Linked DNA regions of Kluyveromyces lactis. The protein of the gene in region 1 purifies or fractionates together with the protein of each later gene. This does not show direct contact. Links are inferred from orthologs where the notes say so. Each region holds a gene or a part of one and is shown on either strand. Other genes may lie near its edges. The genes, in order: YTA12, PHB1 and PHB2.

What was found.
Region 2: the proteins of YTA12 (region 1) and PHB1 purify together in Saccharomyces cerevisiae (affinity purification with mass spectrometry; 4 studies listed by BioGRID, with this or other methods). This does not show direct contact. The link is inferred for Kluyveromyces lactis from reciprocal best matches to the Saccharomyces cerevisiae genes YTA12 and PHB1.
Region 3: the proteins of YTA12 (region 1) and PHB2 purify together in Saccharomyces cerevisiae (affinity purification with mass spectrometry; 3 studies listed by BioGRID). This does not show direct contact. The link is inferred for Kluyveromyces lactis from reciprocal best matches to the Saccharomyces cerevisiae genes YTA12 and PHB2.

The regions. Positions count from the first base shown.
Region 1 is NC_006042.1:1,269,146-1,273,563, forward strand, and holds YTA12 (m-AAA protease subunit YTA12), read right to left. Parts: upstream 2,934-4,418; coding exon 405-2,933; downstream 1-404. Other genes in the region: NPL6 (Npl6p), read right to left, coding at 3,352-4,418.
Region 2 is NC_006040.1:1,371,882-1,374,557, forward strand, and holds PHB1 (prohibitin subunit PHB1), read right to left. Parts: upstream 1,247-2,676; coding exon 566-1,246; downstream 1-565. Other genes in the region: APC2 (anaphase promoting complex subunit 2), read right to left, coding at 1,564-2,676. UniProt on the Saccharomyces cerevisiae protein: Prohibitin probably acts as a holdase/unfoldase for the stabilization of newly synthesized mitochondrial proteins. Involved in mitophagy; may act as an adapter for ATG8 that supports mitophagosome assembly.
Region 3 is NC_006041.1:1,406,506-1,409,338, reverse strand, and holds PHB2 (prohibitin subunit PHB2), read right to left. Parts: upstream 1,547-2,833; coding exon 620-1,546; downstream 1-619. Other genes in the region: BNS1 (Bns1p), read left to right, coding at 1-217; NAS6 (Nas6p), read left to right, coding at 2,145-2,833. UniProt on the Saccharomyces cerevisiae protein: Prohibitin probably acts as a holdase/unfoldase for the stabilization of newly synthesized mitochondrial proteins. Involved in mitophagy; may act as an adapter for ATG8 that supports mitophagosome assembly.

The DNA.
Region 1 (4,418 bases):
AATACTAACCATCCATCCAAATGGTACGTTGCAGGTTATCTTTGTTGATCTTCTTCCTCATCAACCTTATATACTTTCAATGTGTCGCTTTATCTATCTCGGATTTGTTTTTGCCAAACTCGGAAAGATCACACCGAGAGGCATATAGGCATGCATAATGTTAAACAATCAATAATCAGTACGCTCTAGACTGATTAATGGCCAAGACAACAAGCACATCAAACGTAAGTGAAGTAAATTGTGTCAACGTAGACCTCTTTTGTTATTATTAAGAATGACTTACTTAAAACCACCTATTTACATGCTTGATATATACAGTATAGTCTGATGATAACTACTGGTGCTTGGGATTACGAAATGAAATTGCAGAAACAGAGTAGTTAGAGCTAATAATGTTATTGTTTTTAAAAGACGTTGGGATCATCTTGTTCATTGCTCTTTTTGTCTGAATCCTTCTTGTCCGAATCCTTCTTATCATTATCCTCCTGTTCATCTTTCTTTTCAGATGCTCTGTTCTTCAGTTCGTTAGCTGCTTCTTGATCTTTGATCTTTTTGGTTTCACGTTCATTCAAGTATTTGTCGAATGCGTCGTTACGTTCTGGGAATTGACGTTTACCTAAGAGTGCAATCATATCTTCTCTTGTTAGAACTTCCTTTTTCAGTAGAAGTTGAGCAATCTTTTCAACGTCTTCAGCCTTTTCTTTGAGTAACTTGGCGCAACGATCGTGGCATTCTTGAACGATACGGTACACTTCAGAGTCCACAATGGATCCTGTTTCTTCGGAGAACGGTTTGGTTAGATCGTTTTCACTTTTCTTGGCAAAGTTGATCCACCCGATCTTATCGCTCATACCTAACTCAGTTACCATTGCAGTAGCCATACGAGTAACTTTCTTGAAATCATCGCTAGCGCCAGAGGTCACGCTTGGGAAGTGCAGTTCCTCTGATACACGGCCACCTAGTGCCATGGTCATTCTGTCCTTTAGTTGTTGTTCTGAAAGTAGGTATACATCACCTGGTAAGTATTGTGCGTAACCTAGAGCACCTTGACCCCTAGGAATGATACTGACTTTGAGTAATGGGTCAGCAAACTCTAGATACCAACCACAGACGGCATGACCAGCTTCATGATATGCGACAACCTTCTTTTCTTGTGGAGACAATAGTTTTGATTTTCTTTCGACACCACCGATGACCCTTTCAATGGCCTGTTCGAAATGTTCCAATCTAACAGCATCACAATCGTTTCTGGCAGCAATCAATGCAGCTTCGTTACAAACATTAGCAATGTCAGCACCGGAGAAACCTGGTGTCATAACAGCCAATCTGTTTTGTAGATCTGTCATATCACCAGCCAATGTAATTTTCTTCAAGTGAACTTTGAAAATTTCTTGACGGCCTTGTAACTCTGGTCTATCAATGTTGATATGTCTATCAAATCTACCAGGTCTCATCAAAGCCTGATCTAGAACATCTGGCCTATTGGTACCTGCAAGGACAACAACATGATCTGCAGTAGTAAATCCGTCCATCTCAACCAAAAGTTGGTTCAAAGTGTTTTCTCTTTCGTCATTGGCACCAGAGAAGTTACCCTTTTGTCTTGCCTTACCGATAGCGTCGATTTCATCAACAAAGATAATAGCTGGAGCATTTTCTCTAGCGGTCTTGAACAAATCACGGACTCTGGACGCACCAACACCGACAAACATTTCTACGAATTCGGAACCAGACACAGAATAGAATGGAACACCAGCTTCACCAGCAGTAGCCTTTGCTAGCAAAGTCTTACCAGTACCGGGAGGACCAGATAGGATTGCACCTCTTGGAATCTTGGCACCCATTCTTTCGTATCTGGATGGTTCTTTCAAGAAACTAACGAATTCCATGATTTCTTCCTTGGCTTCATCGCAACCAGCAACATCCTTGAAATTGACCTTTACGTCGGTATCTTTATTAAACTTTCTGGCCTTTGATTTACGCACGTTGAATAAACCACCTGGGCCACCACCGGCAGCGGATGCACCCTTTGTAGTAATCCAAATCAAACCTGCAATCAATAGTGCAGTTGGTAATATTTGGAAAGCTAATTTGACCCAATTCCCCTCTCTAGTGTAAAGAACAGGAATTCTAAAGTCTTCCGCGATATTCAATTCATCTTGTGCTTTCTTCAATTTATGTTCAAATGATTCCACGGATCCGATCGTAAAGAAATAAAAATCGTGGCCCATATGTTCAGGTTGATTTTTCCCGTTATCGTTCAAGATAACCTTGACTAGATTATTATTGATAACAATTAATTTGGACACGTACCCTTTCACCAACAACTGGTTACGGAATTCTTGCCATGTAAGTTCTCTTTGTTCCTCCATGCTGTTCAATCTGTGTAGGATAAATGCTAATATCGTCAATGTCAAACCAACTTTGAATAAATTGATGTTAACAGTCATCATATTCGAATCATTTGGTGTGAAATCCGTATTTCCGTTGGAACTCTTCTTAGACTCATTCTTGGGATCATTCTTGGGATCATGCTTCTTCGCCGATTCTTCAAATTCTCTCTTCTCGCGCTCTAGATGGAAAGGATCATTCGCTTTATCTTGGGCATCTTCTTTTTCCTGCTGCCTCTTCACAGCAAGCTCCAACCTCTGTAATTGCTCTTCAATCTTCTTCTTACGCTCTTCCATATCGAGTTTCTGATCTTTGTTCAAATCATCGATAAACTTTCTAACTTCTTTCCTGACTTTATCAACGTCTTCATCCGTAGGCTCCTTTTCAAACCGATTCTGCATCAAGTTGAGCTTACCGGAATGGAACGTACGGCATACGTCGTTTCGTAACAATATCAGCGAACGCCCCTTTGGAACTTTGTACAACGCCCTACTGGCCACAGACTTTACGCCAAGCCTAGATACCGGCCTTATTAAATGGAACATTGCAAGTCACTTCAATGTAATAAAACCACCACGTCGCTGCTACGGTTAGCCGAGTCTGATTGCTATACCGTTTACCTAACAGGACTTTTCGAATTTAAAACCAGTGGAAAATCTTTGTTAACACCGAAACAAACCGAGACAAAAACAGCCGTTTCAACAAACACCTGGCTATTTTACACTACTATAGGGTCTTAAATTCACAATGCAACCACTGTAGATTGCAAATGTAACTGCTAACGCTCCTTTTATCGGTGGCAAATGGCCTTGTCTGTTCACCTTATGGGGTTGTTCTGGTTGAAAAGCCCAAATTCATTTTTGGTAGAGCAAGGACATATCGTTACCCGGCCACTTAGTATAATACACTCTTATTACGTATGTTGAGATATACACGTATACATGGGAGGTCAGTTCAGCTATGTTATAGGCTTGTTTCGAATCTCTTTTGTTCTTCTATAGCAGCGACTATATCTTCGTCCAAGATGTCTTCGTACATCGATGTAGGGACGTCAGAAAGACCGGTGCAAGGTCTTGCTAGGTCAAGAGCTTTGATTCTTGTTTCGTACATAACTTGGCTTGTGTTTCCTTTCACTTTCTTCACTGATATCACTCTCGTCGATTGTGTGGATTGTGGTATATGTAAGACGTTCGTGTACGTATCTCTTAGTCCGAGGTTTTCGATGAGAAGAATGCGTTCTCTATCGTAGAAAAGATCACTGTTGAATCTACTGCATGCAGCAGCATGATGATAGAGCCAGTTCGTAGATGAGATATTGCTTGTTGCCGGGATGTTGTGATTTCTCTTGTCAAAGAATTCTACTGCATTTTTGGATGGGTTGACGGATAATTGTTGCGGAATGTCTATTCCAAGGGTATTTCTTCCAGTGACACTTGTGTGTGATGTTTCTCTTGCTGGGGTACCCTCTTTCACCTTCCCGGATGCACGAAGCTTACCGGCGTAATAATCATCCGTGATGTTTTTACCATCTACAACAACCTTGGCTCCGAATTCTCGGAACACACTCCTTGCAGTAACTAGCGCAATGATTCTGTTTCTGTACGAATAGGGCAATACACCATTTTTGATGAGATCGTCTCTCTCTGATTGCGAGATAATCAATTTGTATAGGTTTGGATGGTACTGGAAGAACAAGTATGAGTCTCTGAACCCAACGGCACGGGCTGGCTCAGTAGAAAGCATGTATTTAACTTCACCTCTGGAAGGTACCGTGAAAGTTCTGACTACAAATTGTCTTCCCTCTAGAAGATCACCATTCTTGGTGATCTTGGTTTCACCCTCTGGATCCTCAGGTAATGAATACTCGTCATTCACAATTGGGTATGGAGACCCGTTTTCGTCCACTGGGTACGGTAGTTTCTGTCTTAAGGGATCGTTCAAATCTTCTTCTCTTTTCCTCTTTGAAGGCCTTCCTCTTGTCGCTAGTACCACTGGAACAGGTGTGCTCGAAGCGGCCTTGCGCTTGGAAC
Region 2 (2,676 bases), on another chromosome or scaffold:
TAAAAATGAAAAAAGTACTAAAAACGACATGTTATCCGATGATTAATGAGAGAGAGAAAGAGAGTATTCAATGACCACCTAATACCTGCCGAATAATCGGTTCTTCTCACCTTTATTTTCCCTACCTTCCTTTTTTTTTTTTTTGTCCCGAGACCCTTTTTTCCTTTATTAAAATACCGTTTAATTAATATCTTCATACATTCATCACATCATGTCATGTGTATGTGCTTGTGTATGTGTATGTACATATAATAATAATTATAATTAATATATGCTTTGTTAAATATAACTTTGGCAGTTTTATGTTGCTTTGCTTAAATTGTATATATTTACATGAATTCTGCCACTAAACATAGGAGAAGGAGGGGAAAAAACATCTTTTTTGGCTGGGTGTTGGCGGTTTAACGGCCAATGTTTAGTAGAAGAGAGTTTGATGTACCGTCTTGGCCACCTTGGCTGCTTTTGGATGGTAAGTAGGTGATGTTTGGAGAGTTTGCTAATGTTTCGGCAATTTCTTTGGAAGCTTCCAATCTTCTGATAAGCAATAACCCGTCACCGGCCTTGCTCAATGCCTTGGAAATGTAGTCTGCAGATTCAGCTTCACTTCGGCACGAATAACCGCAGCCTTTCTCTCTTGTTCCGCCTTTTCAACAAGGAATCTGGCTCTTTCAGCATCTTGTTGTGCGATTTGCTTTTGTTCAACGGCCTTGGTGAACTCTTGACCAAATGTCATATGTGTAATACTGACATCTTCAAGTTTGATATGGAACTCATCAGCACGCTTGGAAAGTTCGGCTCTGATTCTTTGAGACACAATTTCTCTCTGTGTAATCAATTCGGCTGCGTCGAATTGGGCAACAATGGCCTTCAAAACTTCATTACCAATACTTGGTAAAACTCTTTCATCGTAGTCAATACCCAAGTTTTGATAAATCTTGGGTAGTTGCATCACATCTGGTCTGTGCAAAACTCTCAATGTTAGTGATACCATTTGCAAATCCTTCGTGCCGGTGTTCGTAGCAATGTTCTTTGGCTTTGTTCTAACATCGAAAAGTATACTTTTTTGTAACCATGGAACTAGGAAATGAGTACCTTCACCAATGACAGCTTGCTGAACACCCTGCAATCTATCAAAAATGACTGCTCTGTGACCACCTCTGACATCATACATCGAGTATTGAATGGCACTTACAGTTAAACCAACTGGGATGGCGATACGAGCCATAACATCAGCTACACGAGACATTTTCAGCTTCTAGTAATCACTTATTTCGCTATCTCCAGTACAAATAATAATGACTAAGTATCAATCAATTAGTTCGCTAATGGAATGATACGATTTCACAGGTAGTTCAACGGTTGTTGTTCTTCCTTTTCTTCTGACCTGTTTCTCTCCCCCTTGAGTTCAGAAGTGGCGAATCCCTGCTTGCCATTTTATAATTTGTTCTCCATTCAGCATTTTTCGGTTTTCAAAGGGTGCAGTCACGTGATACGAACTGCAGATATATCTGAATATATAGTAAAACATATACACTAGCACAACACAGACATACAGTATGGGGTTTATATTCCTTCTTGTACACTATAAGAATCATCTGAATGTTTAGTAACAATTTCCTTTTGTTGCCAGAACGAAAGGATGTCAAGAATTTTCTGTCTGGGCATTGATGTCATTTTATGGAGATCTTTCAATGTATACCTTCTCTCAGGTATAACGTAATTACAGTCAGCCATCATACCAGGAGCATTTCTGCCGTTTGTCTCGTTTTGAAAATGTGATATCACCAAATATTGTTCCATTGTCACTTTGAAGAATCGTCTTTCGCCTGATTTCGTAACTATATTGATTGAAACTCGGCTACTAGATCCAGTATCAAATTTTAGCGTCCTTCCAGTATTCAATCTTTCGTACACTTTCGTTAATTTTTGAATCAAAGGTTCCATTTCGCTGTCCCATTTGTATTTCGTAGTAACGAGTCTTCCATTCAGGTTCTGATAATGTCTCCAATAAAGTTTGGAAAGGATCTTAATATGGGGGAAATTCTCAAAATGAGAGTTATTTTTATGGGCTACTTGATTTCTGAATTGGCTGCTTAATCTTAGGTCTTCGAGCATGATATCTACATCATTGAGGTGGGTTAAATCGGCTTCCTCTGATGTAACAGTACCTTTTCTTGTCCCTTCCAAGTGATTCAATATAATATCCATTATTCTCTGCCATTCTGGATCTAAGGAATATTCCTCAGATTCAATAAATTTACCACTTACAACACCTAAGAGATCGTCCACTAATGTTCTCTTTGACTCTAGTACGTCTAATAGCACATGGATCAAATCAACCGGTGGGACATATTTGCCATCATTGTCAGCAAAATCTTCCACATCAAGTTTGATTCTTGGGGGTTCCGGTACCCAGTTCAAATACTGTTTCAAAAGTTGATCGTCTCCATCGTAAGTACACCGAGGTAGATGGGGCTGGTTGAACCAAGGCAACGCGGTGGGTAATTCGGGACCCATTGAGAAATCACCGACCTCTCTCGAAAATTGCTCTAACTTTTCAAGATGTACGGAACTACCATCAGTTGATGATGCAATTTTGAACCGTTCATTATTTTGGAATGGAAATATCCCGAGTAGTAGCGTTTTTATAATATCCGGTCTTGGATTCAAATATAC
Region 3 (2,833 bases), on another chromosome or scaffold:
TTCTCAAACTGCGAGTACAAGTTTGCACAAGGCCATGTTTAAGAAACCATCACCACACCAGCTTTCAGAAATGAAGAACAAGTTTGCTTCTCCTACCGATGATTTGCTCTCTCCATGTTCCCAGAAGTTGAACGATCACAGATCGAAGTTGTTCCAGGCAAAGAGCAATCCTACCAAGTTGAATTTCCAGTCGAAGCAATTAGCAGAAGAGTTTTAAATTTAACATGATCCAAGATACCCACTCCTCCCTATACTCTTCTGCGACTACATTCCTTGAGATACTTTGCTCTTAAGACGCTATTTTAAACATATTTACTTCAAGTCAGGCAGGTCCGAAACTTGCCTCAACTTATATCAACTTTTGCATCATAAACCTAGACATGAAATGTGCACGACATCTATATGAAACACAATGATTGCTCCTTTGTATATCCCCCAGTTTTTAACATATATTCTGAAAACATCTCTGTTTGGATTTTTACATAGGGATTACAACTCGTCGTCATATTGTTTTGAATTTTGACTTTTACTATAAACAAGATACATACGAGATAAATAAGATACCTAACTCGTTGAATGTGAAGAATTGGTGTTAATTTATTGTTTCAGTTTTGCTCCTCTAGTTCTTTGATCTAGAATCGGTCACTGTATTCAATAGAAGAGCTTCATTATCTAGAATAACCTTGTTTGGAGATCTGGATAAGATAGAAGCAATTTCTCTAGCAGTATCTAATCTCTTCAATTCCACGTAATCTTTACTTTTCTTGATGGCTTCACCAATCAATTCAGCAGATTTGGCCTCACCTTGTGCCTTAACGATCATACCTTGCTTTTCTTGAGTGGCCTTATCCACGACGAAAGCAGCCTTTTGAGCGTCTTGTTGAGCAATTTGTTTGGCTTCAACAGAGTTTGTGAATTCCGGAGAGAAAGTCATGTAAGTGATGGAGACATCATCCAACATGATATTGAAATGCTTAGCACGACGCACCAAGTTTTCCCTAATCAATCTAGAGACACGTTCTCTTTGGGTAATCAATTGAGAAGCATTAAATTGGGCAACCACCGCCTTCAAAACTTCATTCACGATACTGGGAAGCACTCTTTCATCGTAATCAACACCGAGAGTACGGTAAATCATTGGTAAATTCTCTACGTTAGGTCTGGATAGCACTCTACAGGTGATGTTAACCATCTGTAAATCCTTAGTACCGGTCAATGACGATACATTTCTTGGCTTGGCACGCACATCGTAGACGACCGGGTTTTCAACCCATGGAATGATAAAATGAGTACCTTCTGGGTAAATTCTCGGTTGAACACCGTTGATACGTGAATAAACAATGGCACGGTGACCACCATCAACGTTGAAAAGAGCTTCGTTAGCCAAAAATCCACCACCAATCAACAAAAATAAACCACCTAAAGCCCCAAAGGCACCACGAGGAGGCTGTCCGGAAGGATATTTACCACCTGATTGTTGTGCACGAGCCAATTGTCTTTGTACAGATCTGGCAAACTTACCAAAATCACCTGGATATCTGTTCATTGCGTTCTTTTGATTAAATTATAATAACTTTGCGGGGGGTAAAAACACAGCTTTTGTTTCAAATTTACAGCCAATCAGAAAAGGGCAATGTGCGGTTATATATATAATATTACTGCTGCGATTGTCGTAACCTCCTAGTTCCTTTGCTTGAACCCTTTCCCTTTAAGCAATTTCAAACAACGAACTGAGTTGCTCATTTCTCACTTTGCCACTTAACATCTGAGAAGGGGCGACATCCCCGAAAATATGTTTGTCACAATGCACGGATCACGTGATAAAACATCAACACTCTAGCCTCTGCTCATGGTGGTATAGCCAGGCACCGGGAAGTTGAATGTTATCTGAGACCCATAAGTATCCTATTTAGTACTTAAAACCTGTCAGCTTTCCAAATGTGTACCCAGATTTCGTCCAGGTGTACCAAGTCTTTCCACTGCCGTTTCTTATTTCTTTGATATGAGGTAAAAACCCTTTAAAAAGGGTTTCAACTTAAAGACAGCTTATTTCATACAAGCGTTGGTTGGTCAGAACCATACAAGAGCTGTCCTGGGATCAGTGTATTTGTAAAACATTGAAAGCACAATAAACAATTCAAACTATGGGTGCTGACTTTTTGTTACATGCTGCGTGTATGAACGGAGATACCGAAAAGGTTCAACAGATATTAAGTGAGTTTCCGGGCGCAGTGAAGGTTAAAGATGATGATGGCCGATATCCTTTGCACTGGGCAGTATCATTCCAGCAAGACAACATAATTGATATATTGTTGTCCTATATGAAGAAAATTGATTTGGACACTATTTTGGATGAATCTGGTTGGTCTCCGGTACACATTGCTAGTTCTATCGGTAGCGTTACTATTCTTGAAAAGTTACTTAATCATACTGTTGAACCAAACCTTGATCTACAGGCTAATAATGGGATCACTGCTTTACATTTAGCTTGCTCTAAGAAGCATTTAAATGTGGTTCAACTTTTAGTGGAAAGAGGAGCTTCAGTGAGAATTAAAGATGGCCTTGGTCAATTGCCTTTGCATAGAGCTGCAGCTTCCGGTTCAGTGGGAATTGTGTCGATATTATGCGATAAAAACTCTCCTGTTAATATAAAGGATAAAAACGGATGGTCTCCTTTGTTCCATGCTTTGGCAGAAGGTCACGGCGATGTTGCTGTCACGTTGGTCAACAAGTATCATGCATTATGGGAAGGAGAAACCGACAACGATGACTTGTCCATAGATAAAATCTGTGTTGACGCAAAAGTGAAGGATTACTTTTTGTCAAAGGTTGA